Linked DNA regions of Cricetulus griseus. The protein of the gene in region 7 interacts with the protein of the main gene of each other region in a biochemical or structural test. Links are inferred from orthologs where the notes say so. Each region holds a gene or a part of one and is shown on either strand. Other genes may lie near its edges. The genes, in order: Pkp4, Mapk12, Scn4a, Abca1, Atp2b4, Arvcf and Erbin.

Region 1 (3,116 bases), on a different chromosome or scaffold from region 7:
ATGGCCCCTTTCTGGCTACATCAGGTCTTACAGGAGGCCCAAATGAGTTCTTCCCAACTGTGATCTGCATTAGTTGCAATAAACGCTGCCAAAACAGTCACTAAAAGAAACAGTTCCTGTCAGTCAGCTCTGGAGGTCCCAGTTTTTCTGCCTTTTAGCAAACAGCCTTTACTTAAACCTAGATACCAAGGAACCAGGTTCAGGAAGGTGAGATCAAATAGGTGTGAAGTCCAAAAGTCTGTGTCAGTTCCTCAGGAACATCCAGTGACTTGTCATATAGAAAGCTGTTTTCTCTGTCCTGCCAGGGCACATGTGGCAGAGAGCATGACCTGTCAGCCATCTTAGGTGGTCTTTGCAAATGGTGAGCTCAAAAAGGCTCACCATTTGTAGGATTCAGCTACTTTCCTGCCTACATTGGACCTATTTTACTTTGAATCCTAACCTCGGGCTGTTTTCAACCCAGGAAAGTACTGTTTCTTGGGTCTCTCTATAGTCACAATGCTGCATGCTGCAGAGTAACATTGGGACATGCCTATAGACCTCAAAATGCTGTCTATAATCCAACAAGTACTGAGCACAATAATTATTTAGAATCAGTGTTGGCTTCTAACATTGATGCCAAGCAAGCAAATGCCCAACTCTCCATATGTAATGATTTAGTTCCAAAAAAATGATGCTGTAAGTGGTCCTTACCAATGTAGTATGGCCAGGATGCCAGATGTAAATACCCTTCGGTGAAAAGAGATGTTAAATACATCTAGAAGGTTGGAACAAAGCAGAACCCACTAAAACTGGAGATAAAATTAAAACAAACAAAAACTCCAAGAAATACATAGACTAAGGGGCAGTAAGGTAGCAGCCACATCTTCACTGCCCAGTGTGGCCCACCTCATAAACAGACTTAATCTGTTTTCCATATCACACCCAGAAAAAGAGGACCAGACCACATTTCAAGGATGAAATTTCCACATTTATTATTCTTCCATGTGCATAGAAAATGGCAGTGAAGTGTCCTGTGAAAGAGGCGGGATGAGCATGGCGCTGCTGTCACACTGAGCTTTGTGCTTCCAGGGGTCACTACTCACTGAAAACAGGATGTCAGAGTTTGTTGTCAACTGGTAATAGTTCCTTGGGCTTCCCACTTGTGTTTTAGGCTGTCAGTTCTTCAAATCTCTTTTCAAACGACACACTGCATTACAAATGATGGCACTTAACCAATGTGGCATTTCCATATTTACACCAACAGAATAAATTTTTACAAGACATAATAGCATACAATCTTGACATTTAGTAATAGCAATAAAACATGAAGGGCATCCATTTTATTATTTTTTTTCTGTACAAACTATCTGAACATAACTTTATTCACATTAAAAAAATCATCTGTAATTTGATTTGACCTACACATACCCCATCTCATTTCACCCATTTCTCAAACCTCTCATCACATCACCCATACCTTCACCACTAGAATCTACAAGTAATTAGACCTAACACCTACACAGAGCTTAGAAAGTCCTCTCCCAAGGGTTTCCTCACTTCCCTGAAAATTCCTCAAAAAAAAAAAAAAAAAAAAATACACTTCACTCATTCCTTCCATTTCACTTTCCACATTTCATCATCAAATCAGCAAGACGGACTTTTCACCTCAATCCAAGCAAAAGTTAGCAAGAAAGAGTCCCTCGCCAGGCGTCTTGATGCTACACCCACGAGTCTGGGGACCCTGGGTACTGTTCGGCTCTGTAAGAAGGTCGTTTAGTGGAATAAAAGTCTACGTAATTTGTGGTTGATTTCAGTCCATACTGTGTTGAGTAATCAGTAGAAGCTGGAAAGTGAACTCGGTCATCAAAATAAGGGTCTTCATAGCTACGAGGAGACTGCAAGTACAACCTGTATGCATCCAAGGTCTTCCTGGTGGAGTCATCTTGATAGTACAGCTGTTGGTGCTGCTGGCAAAATGGAAAGTCGAGTAAGGGAGAGCATTTTAAAAACACACATTGAAAGAACACTGTACATCAGTTTCACATTTTACAGTTCTTTGTGGGCTAAGGGTGGTGGTGGGGGCAGCTATTTCAGGTGCACACCATGTTTACTCACAGTAGGGAGGATTTTAAATTATGTTTATAGGCAAGCTGGCTTTGTTTGTTCAAGTCTTGCCCTGAGGCCTCAGGAGAGTTTAGGCCCTCAATGGGAGGTGGCAAGGGATGTGGAGGAGCCTGTTATTTAGGGACCAAAAGAGGAGGCAGCTTTTGCACAGGAAAGTTAAGCATATCATGGACATTCCTGAGGGCCGGGGATTTGGTTTTAGATATTCAGATAACTATAGGATTGTATGTGAATCCACTGCTTAATTTTAAAAGACGTAACATAGTGTGATGAACTCTGCTGTACAGTTTATTATTAGAGGACGAGCAATCTCAAGGCAGGAAGGTAACAAAATTAGCAGACACATGAGCAAATAGCATTGTAGAGGCAAAGACTTCCAATAAGGTCCTTTGAAGAAAGTGAAGTACCACATGTTATCCACACAGGGAACCCGGACCCCATTTCCTTTTGTGCTGTCTTAGCTTTGACCTCACCACGATGCCCTCAAATTATCACAGCTCTTATGTCTGTCTGCATGCTGCCCAAATTCGCCCCCTGCCCCACAATCTTGGTAAGATTGAAGAATTTACCATATAGGTATTGGCATCTGACTTTAAACTCATTCTAACATCATGGTATTTCAGAGTTAAAAAATATACTTAGCTAACTATCTCCTCTTTTAAAAGCAGAGTTAGATTTCTCTTGACTTAAAGGTTATAGTGTCGATAGGGTCTTAGAACACTTATTTGGAAGGACACAATGCAGTTCTGACTGGGAAACCTTAGCTTTGTGGTTGAAAGGGGTGTGTGTGGCAGTACAGTTCCAGGGGCTAGCTCGGGAAGACCCTCTTAAGTGGGCTACAGACTCAGGGTTTTCAAAGCATGGAGCTTGGATGAGAAGGAAGCCATGGTGATGGAGGATGAAGTGTCCAAAGAGAACAGGAGGCTGCGAGGTTTGCTCACCAACTTTGTCTTACCCAGAGAATAGAAGAGACTTTCTAGGTTAATGGAAAACAAAAAAAAGTCAGAGAA
Region 2 (4,688 bases), about 64 Mb from region 7:
GATGCAAGGACTCAGTGCATGCCCAGGGTGGCACTGTTCTCCAGGGATAAAACCCTCCTATAACTATCCTTGTCTCCTCCACTGTGCCCACTGTCAGCTCAGCCCCCACCCTGGTACATTTGCCCACAGACACAATCTATTTTTAGATGCTGACAGCCGGGATACTCTGGGGGGAGGTGCAGTCTCAAGTCTAGGTTGACTCCAGGCTTCTGAGCAATCCAACCCCTTAGTCCCCCCCCCCTTTTACTCCTCCTCAATGAAGCAGACCCAAGACCAAAGTGGGGACAGTCCCTTGGGAGGAACAAATACCTAGTAGGTTCTTCCCGGGGCCATCCCCTGGCTATCTAGGCCAAGGAGAAGCACCAATTTAAACACAGCTTCTGGTTGTGGGAGTTGGACAACAGATGGACAATGTGACATCAGTTTCCCAGTACTTGGGAGGGGGACCGGAACTCTGGGGTCAAGAGAGGCCTCCCTGATGAGTGCTGCATACCCAACTATCAGGAGGGACGAGTGAAAGAACAAAGAGAGGCAGGGTGCCTGATGGCCAAAGTAGGACAGAAAACACCTTCAGAGTAAGGAACAGAGAAGAAGTCCAAATAGCTAAAGCCCAGGCCAATACAGAACCAAGGAGAAGGCAGAAGGAGCCAAAAGAAGGCCTCAAACTCACATCCCAGAGGAAGATTTGGCTTTGCTCCACAGAGCTGCTATGGAAGGAAACAAAGATAAAATGCTGAGGCTGAGCAGTGGTGACACACACCTGTAATCCCAGCACTCAGGAGGCAGAGGCAGGTGGATCTCTGTGCATTTGAGGCCAGCCTGATCTACAGAGTGAGTTCCAAGACAACCAGAGTTGTTACACAGAGGAAACCCTGTCTCAAAAAACCAAAGAGTGAAAAAAAAAAAAAAAAGATAGGTATATACTCTGGATTTCAGTGAAAGGACAAATAGAATGAGGCAAGAATAGACAGGAGGTAGAGGGCAGCTGAGTGATCACTTTAGGCATGGCCAAAGTTGGGAGTAAGAACATGGACAGGAAAGGCTTGGGGGCAGATAAACCACAGATGTGACCTGAGAGCTTAGTAGAATATATAAGGAATAGGGTCCTAGAGGTCAAGGTAAGTCCACCAAAGGCATAAGACTTCTGCACTTTTGTGGTTTAGATGTGACCCAGAGCCAAGGACCAGAGCTTGAGGAGAAAGGGAAGAAGACTAGAGCTGGATCTGTGGCAGCCCCATTTCTGGTAAGTAGAGCATACAGCCTGTCCAAACCTCAGTTTCCACACGAGAAGGGAGATACAATGGCAGCTTCCCAGAAGGTGCTGAGGAATCCTGAAAGCTAGCACACCCAGGCAAGGGTTATGGGTTGACCCACAGACTCACTCAGGAGTGGGGAGTGAATGAAGAAGCCCACAACCCTTGGCTGGAGAAAGGTTCGGGATAAGTAGGTGGCTAGGTGGGATTGGGCTTGAGGATAGGGGTGGCTACACCCATGAGAACAAAGCCTTTTACTGTTTTGTCTGTTTTGGTTTTTCAAGACAGGGTTTCTCTGTGTAGCCTTAGCTATCCTGGAACTCACTCTGTAGACCAGGCTGGCCTTGAAATCACAGAGATCCACCTGCCTCTGCCTCCCAAGTTGTTTGATTGTTTTGTTTTTTATAACTGTTTACAGATTTATGGGGAAGTGGGGAGGCAGACAAAGCAGGGCTGACGTCCATCTTAATCAGGCTTCATGAAGAAAAGAAATAAAGGTCCAACACATCAACCAAGAGTGGCAATGACGAAGCAAGTTTGCTGTTAGACACAGGGAGATCATTGTTCCATGGGGTTACTGACTCTGATGACCCAGGAGATTAAAACATACTTCAGGACTAGTGCAACTCCCCAGATGTCAAGTGAGGGGGAATGGAACTCACAGCCTCAGGAAGAACCATATGAAGACAAAGCCCCCAGCTGAGAGGATTCTGATGGCTAGCAAGGCTGATATGAGAGGCACAAGGGCAGCCATGTGCAGTATCCTACTATGGGCAGGTGAAATCGGAAATGCGATGCTGACAGAAGAAATACACACCCACAGTGGTGACTGTAACTCTCTGTTCCTTAAACCCTGCTCTTCTCCTTAAACCCCGTATCCATAGAGACTGGAGGCTTTGGGGTGATAGAGCCAGGGTGCATAATTCTAGTGACCTGCCTGGCTGGAAGTGGGCAAGAGAAGGCCTAGGGTGGGGAAGAGACGCCCCTTCCAGGAAAATCCTCTTCCCACCAACCTGAATGGAGACAGGGTTTGGAGTAAGACTTGAGGAGCCCTTAGGACTAGAACATACCCTGACCACTGCCTGGGCCGAGAAAGTAGAGGTGGACGGAAGATGAAACCAAGCCACTGAAGCCGGGCATGAACTTGCAGTGTCGCTCAGAAAGGGGTCTGGAATCTGTCTCCACTTCCCTCCTGGAAGCTGCTAATAGCTTTTTCAAGCTGGAGGCTAACTAGGTACCAGGCTTCAGGAAGCAGAGGTAGTGGACAGGATTGCAGGGGAGGGCAGGATGAGAAGTGGCCAGTGCACAATGTCCGCATCTGGGGCGGGCGTTGGACTCACGTTCTCGTGGCGCATATGTTTGAGGAGGCGCAGCTCTCTGTAGGCGCGCTTGGCAAACAGCTCCGACTGGAAGGGCCGGTACAACTTCTTGATGGCCACCTTGTTACCAGTGCGACTGTCTATTGCAGAGCTGCGGGGCGGACAGCTTGGCTAGAGAACCCGCCCCGTAATCGCCAGCCGCCGCCTGCCCTGCCTGCTGCCCCGCCCGGCGAACGCTCACCACACTGCACCATAGGCACCAGAGCCAACGGGCTGCAGGTCCTGGTACACGGCGCGCACCTCCCAGGCCGTTTTGGTCACCTCCTGGCGATAAAAGCCCTTGCGGGCGGGTGGCGGGGAGCTCATCCCCGACTGGAGCACCGCGCCCCAGGACCCGACCCAAGATCAGGGGCTCAGCCCGTGCGCCCCGGGTCACTGCGTGGAGGGCGGGCTCCTCACTGCCCGCCCGCCCGCCTTCGGGGCTTTCCCTTGCGGGCTCTTCTCTTGGGGTCGTCACCCTGAACTCTCTGTAACCGCCAACACCCACCCGGCCCTTGTCTCTGGCCAGCGAAGTGGTTCCTCCCGGCCCACTGACCAACCGGGCCCCCGAGCCCTGAGCACGTGACACCCCCGTCTGCCCTCCGGCCCCTGCGGAAACCCGAGGAGGCCTCTGGGGTTGGGCGGAAGGCTTGGGAAGGGAGGGCGGGGGAGAGGGGGAACTGCCCCATAGCTCTCTCGCGACCTGGGGCGGGAGGTGGCGCTGAAACACCCTGGATGGCCTCTATCCCTCTATCCTCACTAGACATCTCGGCCCTGGGCTCTTAGCAGGTGCTTCTCTGGATTCCAACCTTTCCTGTCCTTCCAGAACGCCGGGCCCATTCTAGGCAACTTGAGCTCACCAACTTTTACTCCATCCCCAGGTCAGGTCCACCTGCCATTTACCAATCACACCCCATCCCAATTGTTTTTCTGTTCCTGGTCAACTCTTCTTTCCCAAGGATGCCCCGCCCCTGGAGCTGATCCATTCATCTCTTCTATGAAGGAAGTATTTGGTTCTGTGTCCCAGACATCTCAGGTTGCGTACCCAACCCCATTGTGGCCACTAGCTCTCAGTTTCCTAATCTAGGAACCAGAGGTATTGGTCATACAGACCTTTCTAGGGCCTCTACACCTCTGTTCCCAGCCTTGGCCCCTACCTGGTATATGGAGTGCCTGCTTCAAGCAAAGACTAGGAGTGGCCCCTCTATCTATTCCACCTGTTATCCAGCTTAGCCTTCAAAGCCCGGAATGAGCTAAAGGCATGCCTGCTCCCAGGAAAAAGAGGGGCTTCTATGTGAACTTTCAGCCTGATGCTTCCATGTGAGCTTTCTCTCTGGGGTCTGTCCTAGACCTGAACCAGATGCTCCCAGAGGGTAAAGCCACCATCCTTCCCACAGCCTAGCGATCAAAGGCCATTCCAGGATCCCACTGGGTTGATGAGTAGTAACAAGATCCCCCAGAAGGCTCTTCCCCTCCCTCCGTGCCTGCCTGCCTGCCTGCTGCCATGAATCAGCAGCTCAAGGCCAGCCAGGGCAGCTTTGCGCCTGGGCTGCTGCTAGTGGCACATTCACAAGCAACCACGAGTGAGCAGGGGAAGCCAGGCCACTCAAGCCACATCTGCCTGTATCCTGTGTCCTTAATGCCCTTCATGCCTCTGGCCACCCACCAATATTCTTCCAAAATCTCCCCAGTCCCCTCCCTCTGTAGGGGACTAATCCAGATCAGGGTTTGGAACTAGAGCCATGTATTTGATTCTACTCCCTCTCCTGATCCCCAACACTGGACTTGGCTCTGGTCTTCTGGGTTTCCCCCCTGGACCAGCTGCCAGATGGAGGTGTCTAGAGGTCCAAGATTCAGGACATGGACATGATACATGAGCTGGCTGTACCCTGGGCTGAAGCAGCCTTTTTGCCTTAGCCAGGAAGGAAAGGAAAGCTATTTCCCATATCCTGTCCAGTCCCCGAGGAAGAACTGGCCTTTCCTCCAGAGCCAATCCCACATCATCACCCCACCCAAGAGCCAGCCTCATCATTGAGTAAGAGGGAGCCAAGTCTACCTGCTGATCCCAATGCACATA
Region 3 (4,023 bases), on a different chromosome or scaffold from region 7:
GTCAAGGCCTTTAGGGAGCCCCCCCTCTGGGAGGTAGGATCTCTCCAAATTCACGCAGAGAGTCAGGTCCCAGGCCAGCACTGTTCCCTACAGACTGGCCTTTTGCTTCCCAGATACTACAGCCCAGGCCTGGGCCTTATGATCCCTGCCAGTGTAAGGTTTCCATGTGTTCTTTGATGGGCACACAGGACCCTAGGAGATGGGTACTGTCTTTCCCGTTTACTGACATAGGTGACACCATTGAGATGATCTCAGGCTCTAGGGTGCTAGAGGTCACAAGGCTACTCTCCCCACCAGACAGGGTCATCTACCAGGGATGGGATCTACAGGAGACAGACAGAAATTGGGATTCCCCTCTTGTGTGTCTCAGGCAGAAGGTAAAGCCAGGGACCCCGAACCCACTGAACACACACTTCCTACAGGTCTCCATCATCAGTCTGGTGGCCAACTGGCTGGGCTACTCAGAGTTGGGTCCCATCAAATCTCTGCGAACACTGAGGGCCCTGCGTCCCCTGAGGGCACTGTCGCGATTTGAGGGCATGAGGGTGAGTATTGGATGGGGAACACTGAAAAGGGCTCAGGGGATTGGAGCAGCCACCTACGGGGCAGGGTTACAAGGTACGTGACAATTTGCCAGTCAACCATGGGCAGGCAGAAGGTTCAAACTGTTGATGGCTGGAGTTTAGGGTTGTGACCCATATCCAAGAAGCCCCGGTCCAACCCCTGAGCTCTACCAGACCATGCACTTATCTCTGCTACCACTGGAGGGCAGCAGAGGCTGCTGCAGTGGCCTGGAAGGCTTGAAGCAAGGCTTGGCCTGTGGGTTTATGGGTCTCCCCACCTCGGATTGGGGGCCCCAGGGTCCTGTAACACAAACGCATGAGCAAGTTCTTTTGCTTCAGCCCTGAGCCTGCCCCTCTTGAGCATGGAACCATGCCTTTGGCTTCAGGGGCACTTTAGAGAAGATCCCCCAAAGGCCTGTGAGAGCAGTGGCAGATAAACACAAGGTCTGGGCAAAATCAATGGGACTTCAGTCAGTGACTAGACATCCGCTGGGAATAAAATCTCATTCCAGGGACCCTGGTTGACCCCTCCAGGGTCAGCCTAAGCACTCCAACCTCCCCAGTTCATAGAAGATGCTGGCCCAAGGCTGGACCCCCAATCCTGGTTGCTGGGGACCTCTTCCTGCTAGGACAAATAACGCGCTCATGCCAGCTGAGTGGTTTGAAGAAACACAGCACCCCTAGCTCCTGCCACCAGCTGTCTAGAGGCCATGAGATAGCTCTTACTTAAAGGGGAACTGATCAAGCTAGGGTGTGGCTCGGTTGGTAGAGTGGCCACCTAGTGTGCACAAAGCCCTGGGGACAATCCCCTGAACCTCATGCCTTAGGTGTAGTGGTACACACCCCTAATCCCAGCACTCAGGAGGTGGAGGTAGGAGCAGCAGCTCAAGGGCTTCCTCAGCTACACAGCAAGTTCAAGTCCAGCCTAGGAACCATGTTTTGAACCCTATTTCAGAAACAATTAAAAAGGGGTGTTGGCAGCAGGGGGAATAATTCTCAGATTCAGCCAAGACTAAAGCAGTCTGGTAGGCCTATAAGTCCAGGGCTGGTAAGGGACAGGAATCTGACTCTAAATCCTAGTGCTCTGCACACCTTGGTGGCTTCTTTTTATGCCCTTTCTGTGTCTTTCACTGATGCAGTGAGCCAAGCCAGGTCACGGGGGGCTGAATTTCCTATGGGGGCTAAGAAAGCAGTGTTTGTCTCCTGCTCTGTGACCCATGACCTGGCAGCTTCCAGAGAAGCCTGGCACCCTTACTCTGCCTTGATGGCTCCAGTGAAGCAGAGAGCACTTCTAGAGGACCAGTATGCTAGCTGCTCAGCCCCTACCCTTACCCCTGTACACACATGCCCACCCAGCAGACCCTCCCTTACCCCTGTACACACATACCCACCCAGCAGACCCTCCCTTACCCCTGTACACACATGCCCACCCAGCAGACCCTCCCTTACCCCTGTACACACATACCCACCCAGCAGACCCTCCCTTACCCCTGTACACACATGCCCACCCAGCAGACCCTCCCTTACCCCTGTACACACATGCCCACCCAGCAGACCCTCTCCCACCAGGACTGCCTAAGACTGGCCCTTTGTGACTGCCAGTGCTCAGCTCTGCCCAGTTCCCTGGCTGGGAGTCCCCTGTCAGAGATCCCCGAGAGTGGATCTAGCAATGACCCCACTGCCACCCTGGCCCCTAGGTGGTGGTGAACGCCCTCTTGGGAGCCATCCCCTCCATCATGAATGTCCTCCTTGTGTGCCTCATCTTCTGGCTCATCTTCAGCATCATGGGCGTCAACCTGTTTGCCGGGAAGTTCTACTACTGTGTCAACACAACCACCTCTGAGAGGTTCGACGTCTCTGTGGTCAACAACAAGTCTGAGTGTGAAAGCCTCATGCACACAGGCCAGGTCCGCTGGATGAATGTCAAGGTCAACTATGACAACGTGGGCCTGGGCTATCTCTCCCTCCTTCAGGTGGTGAGTGGCACCCATTGAGCCTTCTCAGAAGTGGGTAGAAGTGCCTAGTTGCCCCTCATTGTATCAGAACCCACTTGTGTTCCTCGCCAGGGGTGGCCAATCTGTTTCACAGCGCCGAGGGACCCAGAGGTAGTGTTCCTGTCTCTCTAGAATATTTGATGCTGCCCACTGGGTCCAGGCAGCTGGTGTTTGGAGAGGGCTTGGTTAGGGAAGGGAGGGAGGCATGAATGGTGGTGTGTGGGAGAGCCCTTCCCCTCATGACCTGCCATGATCTCTCAGGCCACTTTCAAGGGTTGGATGGACATCATGTATGCAGCTGTGGACTCCCGGGAGGTGAGTGGGTCACAGGGTTGATAAGTTAAGTTAGGGGGGAGCTGATAGTTGGTAGCCCCGCAGTCTGGGGAGGAGGGGTCCTGCTCATCGTACTCTGGGGCACAAAGAGAAACTCCGTGCGCGTACCTCACCCTGTAGAAGGAGGAGCAACCGGTCTATGAGGTGAATATCTACATGTACCTTTACTTCGTCATCTTCATCATCTTTGGCTCCTTCTTCACACTCAATCTCTTCATTGGCGTCATCATCGACAACTTCAACCAACAGAAGAAGAAGATGAGTATCTGGCCCTTCCCAGAGGAAACCCAACCCCCACCCACCCACTGCTTCCTGTAGTCATAGCTGCCTGACAGCCCTCAGCAGTCACTGACCTGGATGCCGGGGTATCCCACTAGGGGACCAAGCCATGACTTGACCCCTTGAGCTCCACCTTCCTAATCTATAAAACGAGGTGGATGCAGAAACAGGCATGGTGACACACACCCGGAATTTCAGCACAAAGTGGTCTGAGGCACTACGTTCTCGAGTGTAGGCCAGCCTGGGCTACATAGCATATTTGAGGCCAGCCTATGCTACAAAGCGAGGCCCTGTCTCAATAGCAATAAATAAAATGAAGTAGATACAAACTGAGGACTCATTGGTGAAGCCTTGGTGGAACTTAGCATGAAGCTGGAAATTGGCCCGGAACCTTCTCATTCCCTCCTTCTTTTGCTCATCCATCCTTCTTTAGAGCCAGTTTCCCCCTTCCTCACCCCTCCACCTTTAGCCCCTCTAGAGCCTACGCCTTCCCTCCAGATGCTTCTTAAGGGGTAAAGTCCACCTTCAAGGTACTGCTTGAGGTAGGGAGTCCTGGAAACGGGGAGGGACGCACCTCTGTCTGACTGTCTTCGTTCTGCTATACTTTGGAGGGAAAGACATCTTCATGACAGAGGAACAGAAGAAATACTACAATGCCATGAAGAAGCTTGGCTCCAAGAAGCCCCAGAAGCCAATTCCCCGACCTCAGGTACCAGGCTCCGGGTCCCTCCTCCCGTAACCTGTGACAGGCTGCCGCCTGAGGGGACCGCAGATGTCAGTGCAGTTCCAGTTGGCTCTGCTCACCACCTTGGAGGACTCAGCCTCACAAGGGCTCCTCTGACAAGCACAGTGCC
Region 4 (4,023 bases), about 230 Mb from region 7:
CCTTTTCCTTGCCCTGCTGTAGTCTCTTCTCTGCACCCATTCTCATGGTGGGAGAAGGGAGAGTAGGCATACACAGGCTAGGGGTCAGGGAGCAAGTGCGGTCCTGTCACACGAATCTCTTCTCCCTCCCCTGAGTCCTCAGAGGTAGCTGAGACTTGAGTCCTACTCATGTAAGAAAGCATGATGATAGTACTGAACCAGACAAAGCTCAAAGTGCTCTTTGTCTCTCTAGGTTGGTGAATGGGCAATTCGCAAACTGGGCCTCGTAAAGTATGGAGAGAAATATGCCAGTAACTATAGTGGAGGCAACAAACGGAAGCTTTCCACGGCCATGGCATTGATAGGCGGGCCTCCTGTGGTGTTTCTGGTGAGTGTGCAGGTGGTGAGTGTGAGGGGAAGGTAGCAGCTATTCTGTCATGAATGAACGTGGTTCATCTGAAGTCACATGTGGGCCATGTTGCATACTTGGCAGGGTGACAGTAAGTCAATCTGCCATTCACTGCAGAACAGGCTTGAAGAAGCACAGGGAAGCTCCTCCCACAGAGCACACTGGGTGACTCTGCTGGACCTTAAAAGGCTTCCCCCCAAAAACATGCTCCAGACACCTTGTTTTCTTGCCTTGGATAATCCCTCCTAGTATGGCTGAAGCTGAGTGTGAGACTTGATCTCTCTCAGGAACATTCTTCATGGCTCATGACTGTATGTTCATCCTCCAAAGACAGAGAGTGAGGACAGTGCTTCGAGGTGACCATAGTAGACACTGGACCATAGTTCCTTACATGCAGATAAAGAAAAACCAGATCAGACTGGGCAGTGGCCCTTGACACTCATTTTGTAGAAAACACTAGAGGTATGGGAAGAAGCCTGACTTGAGGCTTTAATGTTACCTTGACCATATGAATCTGAACTTTGCATAAGATTAGCAAGTATAATAGAACAAGGAGTGACCTAGGGGAAAATATATTAGTTTTGCCTAAACCTTACTCTTAAAAAATGTTTTTTGGGTTTTTTGTTGTTTGTTTGTTTGTTTTTGGAGATTGGATTTCACAGAGCAGTCCTAGCTACCTGGAACTCATTATGCAGACTAGGCTGGCCTTGAACTCACAGAGATCCACATGCCTCTGCCTCCCCACTGCTGGGATTAAGGGTGTGTGCCACCACACCATGCATGATCTTTAGCATTAAAAAAATTATCTTTGGTATTTTTCTCAGCAAATAATTAAACTTATTTTATTCTAATTATAGGATGAACCAACCACAGGCATGGACCCCAAAGCTCGGAGATTCTTGTGGAATTGTGCCCTAAGCATTGTCAAGGAGGGGAGATCTGTAGTTCTCACATCTCATAGGTCTGTACTATATAGTCTTGGCCTCTGCAGTGTGTGATTGATTATATTTGGTTAATTAATGAAAATTAGAAAACAAAGGCTAAGACTGAAACAGTTATCACCTGGAATCATTCCACTTCAAGATAACTATTATCATTTGTCTGTATATAGTCCAGAGTTTTCTTATGCAAAGCTATACACACATAAGTGTTTTACAAACAAAAAATGTAATTATAATGTGTATATTGAGAATATTATTTCAAGACATAAAATTTGGTTGTGCCATCACTTCTCATAGCTGGATTGCATTTCATAAAGTTCTACCTTAATTTATGTAACTTTTCCTTGTGCAAACATTTGGATTACTTCTACCTTTTCACAACTGTAAAGCGCATGACAGAGAAGAGCATCATTCCTGTATCTTGGCAAGAGATGCTCTAAGATAATGGGGATCTGTTTTTTTAGAGTGCCAAGTGTCATGGTGATGTTTCCATGGATATAGGGGGATCTCTCTGAAAGGAAACCCTCCTTCTGTTTTTCCCACAGTATGGAAGAATGTGAAGCTCTTTGCACAAGGATGGCCATTATGGTCAATGGGAGGTTCAGGTGCCTTGGCAGCGTCCAACATCTGAAGAACAGGTAACAGATAATTTCTTTGGGATAGCATCTAGTGAAATGGTCGGTGTTTATTCTTTGCTGGGTGTATACATGGTGGCTTAAAACAAAAACAAAAGAGCTTAGCAAAAAGAACATGGGCTCCACTAAATCAGTTTGTGCATTAGAGTTAGATCTTGGACCCATTGCCAGTGGTCTCATAGAGAGGTGCCTTGTTCCTGCCTCAATGTGATGATGGGACAGACTTAGTAGACTTCCTAGGGGAGGCCTTACCCTCTTTGAGGAGCAGATGGGAGGTGGGGTGAGAAGGAAGTGAGGGGAGGGAGGGGGAATGGGGATTGGAATATAAAAAAATAAATTAATAAAAAAATAAAAGAGCATGGGCTTTGATGTCTAAATGGGCAGTAGTCCAATTCTGACTTTGCCACATACTGGTTGTGTGATTTATAGGCAAGTTACTTAACCTCTCTGAGAAGCAGTTTTCTGGGATACTTCTGAATTTTGTTATATAAATTAAATTTAATAATTTGTATGTGATGTTATGGTAATGAGGACACACTGTGGAGTCAATGGAAATGGGTTCACATCCTTGCCCTACCATAACCCAGGAGATAACTTTGGGACATGGGCAGGTGACTAAATTTCTTAGGCTTCTGTTTGTTTGTGTGTCAGACTTCATGGTTCCACACTGGGGATTTAATGGAATCTTGAATTCAAGGTTCTGAACACATGACTAGATAAAACTGGTTTCTTCTCTCAGAAACTGTTCTGTAGGTCTGCCAGAGATCTCCCTTTTTCTCAGTACAAAGCAGAGTTTTTGGGGTTAAGTATTATCTTGAGAAGTTTTCTGGGAATGCTCCATTTGGACGTACTTTTTTTTTTTTTTCCTGCCCTCAGGTTTGGAGATGGTTACACCATAGTTGTGCGAATAGCAGGGTCCAACCCTGATCTGAAGCCTGTCCAGGAGTTCTTTGGACTCGCCTTTCCAGGAAGTGTCCTAAAAGAGAAACACCGAAACATGCTACAGTACCAGCTTCCCTCCTCCTTGTCGTCTCTGGCGAGGATATTCAGCATCCTCTCCCAGAGCAAAAAGAGACTCCACATAGAAGACTACTCTGTCTCTCAGACAACACTTGACCAAGTAAGCCTTCAGTTCAAAGTACTTTAAGCTGCAGGGTTAGGATGCCTGGTCCTTCCTCCCACCATGAGCCTGAGAGAAGTTCAGCCTGTCTGTGTTTTGATTCCTTCTGTTATTACTGCCTATTCTGTATAAATCTCTATGAGCATATGCAAAAAGATGATGCTTTCTATTATATGGAGTTATTGTGACTGTTGTAGCAGTAGTCATAATAACTACCATTTATTGCCTATCAACCATGAGCCAGGCATTTTGCCAGGTGCCTTATCCTTTTTAAATAACAAAATATATTAAAATTGGTAGTTAATAGGTATCCAGGAAGTGTTTTTTCTTTTCCTTTTAATCAAGCCCAAATATGCCAAAGTGATAATTGATGAGATGATTGAGCAGTTGGTGATATGGGGGTAATGTAAAAAAATAATTTTTAACTGCTTTTGATGTTTTTCAAGTATTCTCCCCTTCACACGGGGTTTTCTAGTTCAATTACTTATTCAATTCTGTGTTCTCCTACCTGACACAATTTCAACACAAGGACAAAATGCAACCATACATACATAATAATGATACTGTAATCACACAAGAACAAGTCAAGAGGTATTCATGAATGTCCATCTTCCTTCTGACAGGTATTTGTGAACTTTGCCAAGGACCAAAGTGATGATGACCACTTAAAGGACCTTTCATTACACAAAAATCAGACAGTTGTGGATGTGGCTGTCCTCACATCTTTTTTACAAGATGAGAAAGTGAAAGAAAGTTATGTATGAAGAGTCCTGTTCATACAGGGTGAATGAAAGGAAGGAAGAGATAGGTCTTCCTTCGCACTGTGTCAAGTGTTCCACAAGAATCCTGCATTTCTGTGGAGAGAAACAAACTGGATACTGTACTGACACTATTCAATGCAATGCAATTCAATGCAATGGGAACTCACAATTCCATTAC
Region 5 (4,023 bases), on a different chromosome or scaffold from region 7:
TGCTGCTTCATCACAGTGACATCGGCTCTGTGCACTCTTCTACTTTTAATGGAAAATTACTATTTCTGTTTAAAAAAAAAAAAAAGCTAAGTTTTTTGCAGAGAATATAACCCCCTGAAGTGAAGGCAGTGGTCACTCCAACCCGGTACCCCAAGACGGAAGGAGCCTGATGCCATGATGGAAGGAAGGGGACAGAAGGATAAGATGGAACAAGGCGCTGGGTATCTGTAGACACTTGTTCCTCTCATTATGAGAGGGGAGGTCTACAGCCTTGAGGATCTGCAAGAGGGCACCCCACACTCACCTGGCCCCACAAAAGTTCTCCAATCCCTATGAAGAGACACCACAACCACTGCTCCAGGTTGAGTTTTGTACAGCTGAAGGGTTTACCCCCAAATTCCACAATGAAAATCTGAAACAGAGCAAAGGGCAGCCTACCATGATGGAAACATCTCGTGGGAGTCAGCCTTCCACCCACCGAGACTGAAAAGGTGGCCAAAGCCACAGTGCCCCCTGCAGGGTCAGAGTTGTGCAAGTCTGGATTCTCTTGTGGAAGGAACAGCAAAGAAGAAAAAAGTGACCGATACAATCTTTATAGAGCACTTCAGTGGGACTATTGTGACAGGGATTAATATACATCTGGCCAGAGTAGAGGCAGTTGGAAGCTTCCTGTGACTGAGGCCAAAGGGTGACAGAGAGAAGGGACAGCGGAAGAGGAACGGAGCCGGGAATGAGGTGGAGGGATGGGGCTGAAGGGAGGGGCTTTGCTGAGAGAAAGCCAGCTTCTTTCTAAGATTTATTTTTAAAATTGTGTGTGCATGTGTGTATCTGTGTGCATATCTGTATCTGCGTCTCTGTGTGGGTCTCTACTCTGAACCATGTGCCACAGAAGCCAGAAGAGCTAGAGTTACAGGCGATTATGAGTCCAATGATGTGGGTGCTGGAATTCAAACACTGGTCCTCTCTTACTGCTGAGCCATGTCTCCAGCCCCAGGAAGATGGTCTTTGGTGCTGTGACCTGCTCATAATCCTTTATAGCCACATGTCTTGGTGACCCTCTGAGTACGACAAAAAGGAAGGAATTCATCCTTCCACTGCCAGGCAACCGTGCTCCATCGATCACTCCTCTCCTCTGTGGACTGTGTAACATTTTCAGGCATCAGCCCATTCAGGACTAAAGGGCAGGGGTGGGGAAGGGGGTAGGGAAGGGGGTGGGGGCGAGGAGCCTACACGACCCGTACATACACATTTCATGTGTGCTGGCATGGGAAGAAGGTAGAAGATAGTGGCCCTTCTCTTAGTCACTATATGGAACTTCTCTGCACGTTTGGAAAGATCATGAAAGTATTCTACAAGTCATATTTGCGGGTAACATGCTACCTTGTCCTGGAGCACCTGACTGGGCCCAGTTCTAGAACAAGGTGCACATGGAAGCAAACCGGGAAATCCCAAAGTGTTTACTCACAGCCTTGGGCCCCAGAACTCCTTCTTCTCTCCATCGTCCCCCACCCTCCAGCCCTCCAACCCCAGCTTCAGATAGAATCTCACCTGGCAGATGAATGTGCCTAAAACCACAGAGCAGAAAATGGCGTTGTGGTAGATGCCTGCAAAGACGTTCTTCTCACCATGGATCTTCCGGGAGTTGATTTCGTTGAAGAGCTGCATCAGCACAAAGGTGTTGAAGACAATGGTATAGTGCTGGCTGGGCGGTGAGTGGAGAGGCGCCTTCCTTCCGCTATCAATGTCAAACAGCTTCTCACCTGGTGGGGGCGGGGCCGGTATTAGAGGATGCCTGTGGTCTCAGTGAGGGTTCAGGTTGAAAGGGTGAACAGGTTGGGACAGCCATGCTACTGGCTTCTGGCCATTCCAAAGTTCATTCTAATTGGTCAGCTTCTGAGTTACACTAGCTATTGAACATTTTAGTTTTGTTTTTATTTATTTTTGTGTTTTTGAGACAGGGTTTTTCTGTGTTGCTTTGGAGCCTGTCCTGGAACTCACTCTGTAAACCAGGCTGGCCTCAAACTCACAGAGATCGACCTACCCTGTCGAACGTTTTATTTTTAAAAATAAAACATTTAAAAATTACTTAAGACGTATGTATTTTGTTCTATGTGTATGGGCATTTTGTCTGTATGTGTGTCTGTGTACCACGTGTGTGTCTGGCTCGCAGAAGGTCAGAAGGGGACATCAGGTCCCTTGGAACTGGATTTACAGACAGTTGTGAACCACCATATAGGTGCTGGAGGCTGAACCTGAGTCCTCTCTCTGTAAAAGCAACAAGTGCTTTTAATTGCAGAACTCTGTCTCCAGGCCCCATTAATGAAATCTTTTAAATGTTGCTTCTGGTCTCCACATATGTGATCTTGTCTGTCAGTTGGCTCCACTGGTACTTGTCTCCCTGTGGTTGTGCACTGTGGCTGTGTGCCGGGATTGCACAGGCAGCACTCGCTGGTGAAGCTGCTATTTTGTCGGGTCTGTATTTCCCCATCTGCCATACTACCTTCTCTCAGCCCAAACTGTGGCTCACCAACAAAGACAAGGACAAAGACGACTGTGAGCTGATACACTGCGTGGCCCAAGATGTTCTTCATCATGGTACGTGAGATCAGGGGCTTCTTTCGCCCATAGGGGCGACGCCTCAGCAGAGAATCGGTAGGGGGCTCTGTGGCCAGGGCCAGTGAAGCGAAAGTGTCCATGATCAGGTTAACCCACAACATCTGCACTGCTTTCAATGGAGAATCCTGTAGGAAGAAGAACCAGTCCTTACAACTTGCTCCAGAAAAACAAGCCTGTCTCACTCTACAGTGCCATCATTCCCTTGAGGTGGCTTAGCTCCTGCTACCCACCAGACCTTGAATTTGGTTACCTAGGTACACAGTGACTCTGACAAATTTATATAATTTCAGGCTCATCTCTATAAGGGGAAAATAACATCGGCCTAGCAAGCTTGTTTTGAAAAGGCAGAGATAATCCACATAAGTACACGTCACTTCCTCCAGACTTGCTATGGATAGCTAGTGGCAAGCTCCATTCTCTGACCTTCAGACAGGCTTTATTTGTACACGCAAGATATCACCACATAAAAAATGTTAAATTAATGGTAGGTGAGCCATTACAGTGGAGTCTATAAACCTGGTGTAGCTAACTGTCCAAGCAGTGTTGGGAAATACCTGTCTTTCATTCCTGAGTAGGTATACTATACCCCCTACCCTATGTTCCTCAGTCCTTAAGTCATCCCTGCCATCCAAGCCCCACCCAACCTGAGTGATACAGGCTCCAGTGAAAGCCACGATCACAGCTACCACATTGACAGTGAGCTGGAACTGTAGGAACTTGGAGATGCTGTCATACACATTCCGTCCCCACATCACTGCTTTCACAATGCTGGTGAAGTTGTCATCGGTCAGGATGATGTCTGACGCCTCCTTAGCCACGTCTGTGCCTGCAATGCCCTGAGGTGGGAGAGGAAGGCAGACAGTGAGCAGCTAATCAGACAGTATGTGGTATACTCTGAAACCCAGGGTCTAAGAACTTGGACCTCTAAGGAGCCGCAGAACCAGGCACAGGCACTAGAGGTCACTATAGCCACAACAGAAAACAAAGGGGCGCCACTTCCCTGCTGCTCTCCAGAAGAGTCCCTCAAGTGATCAAAAGGCGGCCTGTTGTCCCCTAGTCCCTCTCAGAGCCTCTTGCCAGCACCCATGAAAAGTGTGTGCACAGGGAACTGAGTCTTCCTCACCACCTCTGCTCTTAGTTCTGAGGAGACCCTGGGTTGAAAAGGCCACACAATTAACAGAGAAGTGATGGGTTGATAGGTATGTGTTGGAAGTGGTAAGAAGCCTGGCTAGGCTCCCACTGTGGCCACTGGGTCCATGTCTGCTTGGTGGTAGAAGAGAGACTATTACACATCTGGACCCTGAAATAATTGACTGACTGCTGTCCCAGATGAGGAATTAGGCATCTTTTAACAGTCCTTTCTCCTACCCTACTACCCCCTCAGCCTTAGCATTGAAAGTGAGGGGG
Region 6 (4,023 bases), on a different chromosome or scaffold from region 7:
CTCAGGTGCCCTATGAATTCTCAAGCCCATTTCCCAGGGAAGAGTTTGAGACTAGGAAAGTCTGGTAATTTGCCCAGAGTCACATGGCAAACTCCAGACTCAGGCTGTGTGGTCCTGTTTTCATGCTACGGATATAAATGGGGACGGCATAAAGGGCAGGATCAAGGGCCATGACAAGAAGAACCAGGGCCTTTGGGTTTCAGCTAGTGTGCATGATGAAAACATCAGAGGCCTTAAGCAGAGTCACACCATGAGCATCTGAGGCCTGGGTCTTCATGGCCAGCTGGTTATTAGAACAGAGGCAGCTTCAGGCAGTGACACCAGCTCAATGCCTATCATCCCAGGCCCGTTCTTGCTGCCATCCTTGAGAAGAGATGAAGCCAATTCAAATTGAAATGTAGCCTGATGACCTGTGGGATACTTTGTAGCTGGGAGTGGAAGACAGAGTTCACAGAAGAGGCAGTCATAAGCAACAGGTGCTCACCTGGCACGAAGGCCCCGCCCATACTCAGGCCTCCTCCGAGCTGCTGTGCCATAGTCAGGCTCCAGGTCAGGGCCACCCTCATCATCGGCAGCCAGGCTCCGTGTATCATCCTCAAGGCCATACGGCTCAGCTTGGAAGTGCTCAGGCAGGGAGCGGCCACTTGGTGGTCCAGGCTCAGAGCCCATGGGGAAGGCTTCTCGGCGGCCAGGCAGTGTAAAGCAGCCATCACCAGGCCCTGGGCCCAGGAAGCCAGTATGTGGGGGCCGTACCCCAAGCCCTCGGGACAGGCTGCCATAGCTTGGAATATCACGGGGCTCAGGGCCATCAGGAAAGCCACCTCCACTGCTGAGGTAGGCTCGGGAGAGTGTGGCTGCTGGGCCACCACCACGCAGAAGGAAATGCCGGTCTAGGGGCCCATCAGCAAAAGAACCAAGTGGGGGGCCACCATCCAGCAAGGGGAGTCCATCTGGGCCCAAAGGCACCTGGCGTACTGTCCTTGTGGTCACAGTCTTGACCGTCTTGGTGACCTGATGGACGAGAAAGTAGCATTTGGGCTTGGTGTCTCTAGAGACCTGGACAGTGCCAGGGTTCTCCATCCAAACAAGTGGTCCTTAGGGGGTCAGCTCACATGCCTGTCCCACAGAGGGATGGCTATGGTTGTCCAAGCTGCCCTCTTCTTGCCTGGGCCCAGCCATACCTTAGTCTCAGTGCGCCGGGTTGTGCCATCTTCTGATGTGACAATGGACACGTGGGAGGTGGGCGTGCCAGGGTCTTCCTCCACCGTCACTGTCTCCTCCAGCACCTCAGGTGCCTCTGGCATCGTGGCGAGCGATGCCTGGCTACCCGGGCTCTGTTCCTGGAAGGAGAAGGGTGTCAGAGGTCAAGCTCCATGTACAATAGATTCTGCCTAGATGTTTGGTGACCATGCACCAGGGGTTATCAGTTCTTCAACCTAGGGATGAGGTGTAGGGGGGAGTCCATCTGGACCCAAAGGCACCTGGCATACTGTCCTTGTGATCTTGACTTTCTTGGTGACTTGGTGGACAAGAAAGTGGTATATGGGCCTGGTGGCTGAGACCTGGACAGTACCCTGACAAAGCCAGGGTGGCTCAATTCTCCTGGGTGCAAGGTGGCTTCCCCGAGCTGTATGGCTCTACCACAGGCCTCTCTAGGCCCCAAGAGGGACCCAGAATGTCCTGCAAGATGTTCTCCTGACATCACTTGCCTCCTCAATTTGGCCTTCCTCCTCATTCTACACTATAAGGTCCAAATGACCAAGTCTTAGAGTCACAGTTTCAGCACAGTTCACACAATCCCATGCCAAGATCAGCCAGAAGTCCTCACAGTTCCAAGATGCCCACCTTCTAGAGTACTGCAGGCACCCACAGTGCTATGATATCCTTGCTCCTTCTAGCCCAGAGGCTCTTGGGACATGGAGACCAACCATCATACCAGACACTAGATATATGGATTCCTACCTGCAACCACCTTGCCACCACCCTGTGCAGAGGCATGATGCCCAAATCCTAGGAAAAACAGCCATGGACTGAGTCAGACTAGTCAGTGTGGAAGCCAACTCCAAAGGACAGGCCAGTTCCTGCTGTGCAGAGTGGAACATGGATCTGAGAGCCCATGGTCTGTCCTGGGCTCAGGGCCTCACCCTGTCAACATCTCAGGGTTGGCATCTGGCCTGGACAGGCAGTGGAACTCAAGCTACCGTGGGTGGGTTAGAGGGGACACATTCCTTTGTAACCATGGCTAGGTCAGCAGAAGGCTGTGCCTCGCCCACCCAAGGCCCAGGGAGGGTTAGTAGTTCACATGGCATCTCCCCCAGCTCCGGAACCACAATGCCCTTCCCTGGCCTGGGAGATGTGCTAAGCAGGGGACCAGGCTGCCTTTACAACAGGCCTTCCTGCAGAGGCCATCAGGACAGTAAACCTTCTCGGACCAGCTCCTGCCCTGGGGGAGTCCCTGGCCCCTGATGGAGACAAGTGGACAAGTGTCAGTGTAGCAGTAGCATGACAGGACATCCTGGGTTCTGGTAACACAAGAAAGTGGAGGCACAGAGCACACCTCTCTCTCCCTCAGGAGCAGGGCCTAGAGATTTAAGAGATGACTTTATAAATAAGAGAACTGAGGCCTGGCTGAGCAGAGGAGGTTTGCCCAGAACTTCAGCAATCCTAGCAGGGGGATTTCAGGAACACATGTGACAAGGAAGCCTTTGAGCTTTGCTTCACCTCTTCAGGACAGTGCCTTGGCAGTTACTTTCCTAGGGATGAGAAGGAATGTCTGCTGGGACCTGGCCAGGAAGAGGAGACCCTGTTCTCTGGGAAAGAAAAATAGATGAGGCCCAATGTGGGGACAATTGGAAAAATGCCAGACTGGGTGACCTGGGCACTTCTCCAAGGACACTGGGTAGTTGGGACAGCTCTGTGCTGAAGTCTGGGTTGTCCCATCTCTATTTGGTGACTGAATATCAAGCCCTAGCTCTCACTGCTGGACCCTGGGGAGCTAGTCAAGAGGGGTTTTTGTTTGGTTAGGTTTTTTCTCTTTTTTGGAGGGGGGGGATTGGACCTAGGGGTTGCATTCCTAGATATGAAGGAGGGGGAGGAGCAAGGCTGAGGGTACATGTTGCTTGGGACATTCTGCCAGAGGACAGGGCCCCTTTGTAGATTTGCATGCATCTACATATATTAAACATTCAGAGAAGAACGCTACCCTACTCCCTATCTATATGGTAAACAAGGAAGGACAGAATCACAGCCCCTGGGCTGTGCTGAGGGTATGACACATAGCAACTGGAGTGGTCTGGAGAACCGGGATCCAGCAAAGGGAGGCAACCTGCAGTAATCACCCACTAACATATGGGCTGAGGGATCCTGAGCTTCCAGAGTCTTTGCTAGCAAATGGGAAGCTAAAAGCAGTTAATGACCTCACCCAGGCAGGCAGGCAGGCAGACGTGTTAAGTCAGCCTGGTCCTGAGAAAGTCAAGCCAGCTACTCATGCCTGGGCACACACAGGCAGGGATCTGGACTCATACAAGCGCATGTCTCTAACCCCTCAAACAGGAGCACATATATATGCAATATATGTACAAGTTCCTAGTCAGAAATACAGCCACGAGTGCACTGATGGATGCACATGCCCCCTGCTCTCAAACACACCCTATCTTCCATCCTTTATTGGTACTAGCCCTTACATGTGCTTCCAACATACAGAGAAGGAGCCACTGACACCCAGTCACCAATTGACTGTTGGGTTTTCAGTGGTAGTACATACAGATGGGGAAACTGAGGCCTTTGGTAGCAAGATGCTCAAGGCCATCCTGGGACTCAGCTTCTATCATTTCTCTGAGGTGGGTCCGTGTAATGGTGTGCTGACCAGCAGCACAACTGATTTTCAACAGGAAAGGCTGGTAAAGTGTCTTCGTTTTCATACCTACCTACCAGCCAATTCGTTTTCCCATACTTCTTGCCTGTAGCCTAACAGCTGATTCTGGGCTATTCCTCTCTGGACCAGACATGGACACCTTTCTGAAT
Region 7 (4,023 bases):
CTATTTTTGTTTTAACCAATTACATGCCTCTAATGTAACCAGATATAATAATTATGAGTCATATTTATTATCTACAACTTGTAAGTTGCTCTTGAGGGTAGGCATCCAGCCATCTAATATGTAATCATACATGCTTATTTATTTTATCCCTTTCCTTTCAATTCAAAGCTATCATTGAGTTTCTTTTTCTTTTTAACATGCACCTTACAGCTTAGTTTGTAACCCTTCTTTGTTTCACAAGGCATTGGCTAAACATAACGTAATACAGTTCTTATGTTTATGACAGGTGTCAGCAGCTTTTAAGAATAGGATAGGCTCAATGTGGTAGCGTATGGCTGTGTCTTAGCACTTGAAACCCAAGGCTGGAAGATCAAGAGTTTGAAGCCAGATGGGTCAGGGAGGGTGAAGCAAGAAAGATGGTTCAGTGGATAAAGGCACCTGTCCTTGAGTCTGCCATTATGAGGTCAATCTTTGGAACCTACACAATGGAAAGAGAACAGACTCCAGAAAGTTGCTCTCTGACCTTTACATATGTCATGGCATGCATACACCTACTTTCTAGAGAATAGTTTTCTTCCTAAACATCAAACCTTATTGTATCTTTAGCAGGATGCAAGTTCACAGCGTACAGTTATGAAACTTTTGCCAAACTTCTATTTTTGGATAATTTTTAGGGAAATTCTGAGGTTTTTTTGCTAATTTCCTTGAGGACAGAAATTCTCCTCTGTTAACCAACAATGGAATTTAAATGATTGAATAATGAAAGCATTTATTTCCTCTTCTATGTACAAGTCTTTTTACATGTGAACATTTATAATATGAATGTAGCCTCTTTTTAGCTAGATTCCTTATAGAATAGAATAAGCTATTTACTACAAAAGTAACCCTAAATCTAAAATTCAGGTTCCATTTCTTAATAAATGGGAGGTACGTCCTTAGTAGCAAATTAATAATCTCAAAGTGGATTAAAAATCCACTTTGCAGTGGAGTTTTTTTTTGGGGGGGGTGGGAAATAAAGTAGAGCCTCATTGTTTTAATTCTTGTGTTTTTAAATATTCCTTAGAATTAATGTTTATAGAGAGCTTGAAAATTACTGATAATGCACACATAGTAAAGAATCAATAACTTAATTTCTATGTAGATAGCTGAATTGACTTGTTACTTCTGAAAAGGAAGAAATCCAAGTTAGAAAATATACTAAAATTTAAAAAAAGCTACACTCCTGAATTAGTTTTTTTCTCGAGGAAAAACAATTTACATACACCTTTTATGCATGTTTGTTATGATTTGGTATGAGAAAAGGATACTCTTCTAATAGGCTAACATAAGCTTGAGTTTTTTTGGTTTTGGGGGTTTTTTTTGTTTTTTTTTTTTTTGTTTGTTTGTTTTTTGGTTTTTTGGTTTTTGGTTTTTTGAGACAGGGTTTCTCTGTGTAGCTTTGGAGCCTATCCTGGCTCTCACTCTGGAGACCAGACTGGAAGCTTGAGTTTTTTTTAGCATACAAAATGTTGTTTTATGTATATCAGTAGTTAAACTTTTTCAATATACGCGTTTCCTACTTTTAACATTGATAAGTGTAACATTAATATCTAACAGAAAAGCAATTAATTTAAAATATAGATGAGGCCATCATTCAAAGTTGTGATAGATCCAATCAGTAAATATTCAAGCAAGTTTAGAATTAAGACATTAATAACTTTGTTTCTCTTGGAAGGTTTAAAATTAGAGGAATATAGTGAATAACTCAGTATTTAATGGTATATAATATTAAAACTCTGGTGCATTTGTATTGCTCCAAGATGAATATACAAGTACTTGTAATAAGACATTATTACAGTCGTTTTTAAGATAATTCATGTCTTTCTTAGATGCCTTTGAGTAATGGACAGATGGGCCAGCCTCTCAGGCCTCAGGCAAATTATAGTCAAATACATCATCCCCCTCAGGCATCTGTGGCAAGGCATCCCTCTAGAGAACAACTCATTGATTATTTGATGCTGAAAGTGGCCCACCAGCCTCCATATACACATCCCCATTGTTCTCCTAGACAAGGCTATGAGCTGGCAAAGCAAGAGGTAAGAATTATCAAGACTGAAATATGAAATTAAAGTTTCCATATATTCTTATAGGTTAATAGCAATATATCCATACAGAATTTTAACAGTAGTTTTTACCATTTTGTTTTAAGTTTATGAAGTTTAGTTTTCTAAAGTGTTAAAACTTTGTACTTTTTAACTTGCCTTTATGATCATGTAACATTGGGGGTGTGGTTTTTTTAATTCTAAGGCAGCTGCTTGTCCAAAATAGATTGATGGTGCTCCAGCAGACTTTCTTTTAAGACAGAATAGTAGAGCATTAAAATGAAGTGGTCCTGTTCTACACCAATCTCAGCTTTTAGATTTGGAAATTCAGCTATATTCTCCAGGCCATGTTGAGAGTTTGATCTTTAAGATGTGTATAGATAACAATTTCACACACCTTAATGATTTGTTTATGAAGTGATAACATTGAAGCCCTCAGTGTTGATCACATTTTGTTTTGATGGAGTCTGTGGTAAACAGAAGCATCCTGTAACAGAAATTTAGCTTCTATAACCTTGTGCGCCAGCACCTTGAAGGCTGAGTCTGGAGGGTGGTGTATTCAAGATTGGATGCACCAGACAATCCAGGCTCTCCTGGGCTGTTGTGAAAGCTTGTGTTTATTAAAAAAAAAAAAAAAAAAAAAAAAAAAACTTAGGAGCTAAAGGCAGGAGGATCTCTTGAGTTCAAGCCCACCTGGGTCTACAGAGCAGATTCCAGGCCAGCCAGGGCTCCATGGTGAGACCCTGTCTCAAGAAAAGAAACTGTTTCTTCATCTCTTATTTTACAGTAGTTTGTGATTTTAAAATCCTTACTCTCCTGAAACATATAAACAGAAGGAATGAGAGTTGATTTCCTAAAACCAGCTCTGAATGTTAAGTATCTTATGACACAAGACAGTAGGCAAAGACAGCATGTAATTTAAGTGAAATTAAATGAAAACTGGTGGAAATAAGCATACGTGTTCTGAAGGTATGCACCATGCTGTTAAAATCATGCTGACTAAAAAGTAAGATAGAGCCAATGTCAGTTGATTGACTAGTCATAAATAAAGTCAGGAGCCACACTGTTTAATCCCAACTGTGCCTTTAACTCACTAACTCATTAACATTAATGATGTTCTGTGTTGTCATGTCACCTCATCTATCTAAATGTTTAGTTCTGATGAATCCTTGCATATTCTGCTTGAACTTAATTCACCAGTATTTAAGTATAGATGATAGTCTATAAATTTTCTGGCATAGTAATATTTCCTTTGTTTTCATATTAAATCAGATTCGAGTAAGAGTAGAAAAGGATCCAGAACTTGGATTTAGCATATCAGGAGGTGTCGGGGGTAGAGGAAACCCTTTCAGGCCTGATGATGATGTAAGTTTTTTTGTTTTTTTGTTTTTTTTTTTATGTTCCTCAGCACTCATAAGGTCTCTTTTATCAATCTCATACTTACTAGGTGAAAATGTAATGTAAATCTATGGGGCTCTCATCCCTTTTCCTTATTACCTTAGTTTGTTTGTTTGTTTTTTAAATTTGCTTATTGCATGTTGTTTGAAGGGAAGAATTATCCAAAAATGTGAATATTGATGATATTACCAAGTGATTTTTAGTTTTGGTACTGCTTCTCCAAAAGTTTGTAGAAGTGATTTCATTGCATTGCTAAAGTCAGAATTACTAAAGGGAGAAATTATATTGACCTGTCAGAGGGTACTCCAGTCAGGAGACAGCTCTCACCATGTTCAAGTATTTGCATGCTATTGAAAACGGTTTCCCTTGATCCTGAGTCATGCTCTCAATTTGTAGTTTGGCCTTAAATAATTTATTTTTTGTGATTGCTCATTAAAGGGTATATTTGTAACAAGGGTACAGCCTGAAGGACCAGCATCAAAATTACTACAGCCAGGTGATAAAATTATTCAGGTAATTAAATCAACCTTTTTATTATTTTCTT

What was found.
Region 1: the proteins of Erbin (region 7) and Pkp4 form a complex in vitro, tested with the Homo sapiens proteins (4 studies listed by BioGRID and IntAct, with this or other methods). The link is inferred for Cricetulus griseus from reciprocal best matches to the Homo sapiens genes ERBIN and PKP4.
Region 2: the proteins of Erbin (region 7) and Mapk12 interact in a test that uses a peptide from one of them, tested with the Homo sapiens proteins (2 studies listed by BioGRID and IntAct). The link is inferred for Cricetulus griseus from reciprocal best matches to the Homo sapiens genes ERBIN and MAPK12.
Region 3: the proteins of Erbin (region 7) and Scn4a interact in a test that uses a peptide from one of them, tested with the Homo sapiens proteins (2 studies listed by BioGRID and IntAct). The link is inferred for Cricetulus griseus from reciprocal best matches to the Homo sapiens genes ERBIN and SCN4A.
Region 4: the proteins of Erbin (region 7) and Abca1 interact in a test that uses a peptide from one of them, tested with the Homo sapiens proteins (2 studies listed by BioGRID and IntAct). The link is inferred for Cricetulus griseus from reciprocal best matches to the Homo sapiens genes ERBIN and ABCA1.
Region 5: the proteins of Erbin (region 7) and Atp2b4 interact in a test that uses a peptide from one of them, tested with the Homo sapiens proteins (2 studies listed by BioGRID and IntAct). The link is inferred for Cricetulus griseus from reciprocal best matches to the Homo sapiens genes ERBIN and ATP2B4.
Region 6: the proteins of Erbin (region 7) and Arvcf interact in a test that uses a peptide from one of them, tested with the Homo sapiens proteins (3 studies listed by BioGRID and IntAct, with this or other methods). The link is inferred for Cricetulus griseus from reciprocal best matches to the Homo sapiens genes ERBIN and ARVCF.

What each region holds. Positions count from the first base shown.
Region 1 is NC_048599.1:115,554,361-115,557,476, forward strand, and holds the end of Pkp4 (plakophilin-4), read right to left. Parts: intron 1,950-3,116; coding exon 1,701-1,949; 3' UTR 949-1,700; downstream 1-948. UniProt on the Homo sapiens protein: Plays a role as a regulator of Rho activity during cytokinesis. May play a role in junctional plaques.
Region 2 is NC_048595.1:385,892,049-385,896,736, forward strand, and holds the start of Mapk12 (mitogen-activated protein kinase 12), read right to left. Parts: upstream 2,939-4,688; coding exon 2,814-2,938; intron 2,724-2,813; coding exon 2,594-2,723; intron 1-2,593. UniProt on the Homo sapiens protein: Serine/threonine kinase which acts as an essential component of the MAP kinase signal transduction pathway.
Region 3 is NC_048600.1:119,270,526-119,274,548, reverse strand, and holds part of Scn4a (sodium channel protein type 4 subunit alpha), read left to right. Parts: intron 1-422; coding exon 423-545; intron 546-2,260; coding exon 2,261-2,539; intron 2,540-2,818; coding exon 2,819-2,872; intron 2,873-3,010; coding exon 3,011-3,148; intron 3,149-3,773; coding exon 3,774-3,878; intron 3,879-4,023. UniProt on the Homo sapiens protein: Pore-forming subunit of Nav1.4, a voltage-gated sodium (Nav) channel that directly mediates the depolarizing phase of action potentials in excitable membranes.
Region 4 is NC_048595.1:90,742,688-90,746,710, forward strand, and holds part of Abca1 (phospholipid-transporting ATPase ABCA1), read left to right. Parts: intron 1-232; coding exon 233-367; intron 368-1,245; coding exon 1,246-1,349; intron 1,350-1,874; coding exon 1,875-1,967; intron 1,968-2,840; coding exon 2,841-3,084; intron 3,085-3,707; coding exon 3,708-3,848; 3' UTR 3,849-4,023. UniProt on the Homo sapiens protein: Catalyzes the translocation of specific phospholipids from the cytoplasmic to the extracellular/lumenal leaflet of membrane coupled to the hydrolysis of ATP.
Region 5 is NC_048598.1:55,474,857-55,478,879, reverse strand, and holds part of Atp2b4 (plasma membrane calcium-transporting ATPase 4), read right to left. Parts: intron 3,453-4,023; coding exon 3,261-3,452; intron 2,742-3,260; coding exon 2,528-2,741; intron 1,761-2,527; coding exon 1,549-1,760; intron 413-1,548; coding exon 305-412; intron 1-304. UniProt on the Homo sapiens protein: Calcium/calmodulin-regulated and magnesium-dependent enzyme that catalyzes the hydrolysis of ATP coupled with the transport of calcium out of the cell. By regulating sperm cell calcium homeostasis, may play a role in sperm motility.
Region 6 is NC_048597.1:70,854,838-70,858,860, forward strand, and holds part of Arvcf (armadillo repeat protein deleted in velo-cardio-facial syndrome), read right to left. Parts: intron 1,341-4,023; coding exon 1,182-1,340; intron 1,012-1,181; coding exon 485-1,011; intron 1-484. UniProt on the Homo sapiens protein: Contributes to the regulation of alternative splicing of pre-mRNAs.
Region 7 is NC_048595.1:322,071,995-322,076,017, reverse strand, and holds part of Erbin (erbin), read left to right. Parts: intron 1-1,868; coding exon 1,869-2,075; intron 2,076-3,353; coding exon 3,354-3,446; intron 3,447-3,917; coding exon 3,918-3,992; intron 3,993-4,023. UniProt on the Homo sapiens protein: Acts as an adapter for the receptor ERBB2, in epithelia. By binding the unphosphorylated 'Tyr-1248' of receptor ERBB2, it may contribute to stabilize this unphosphorylated state.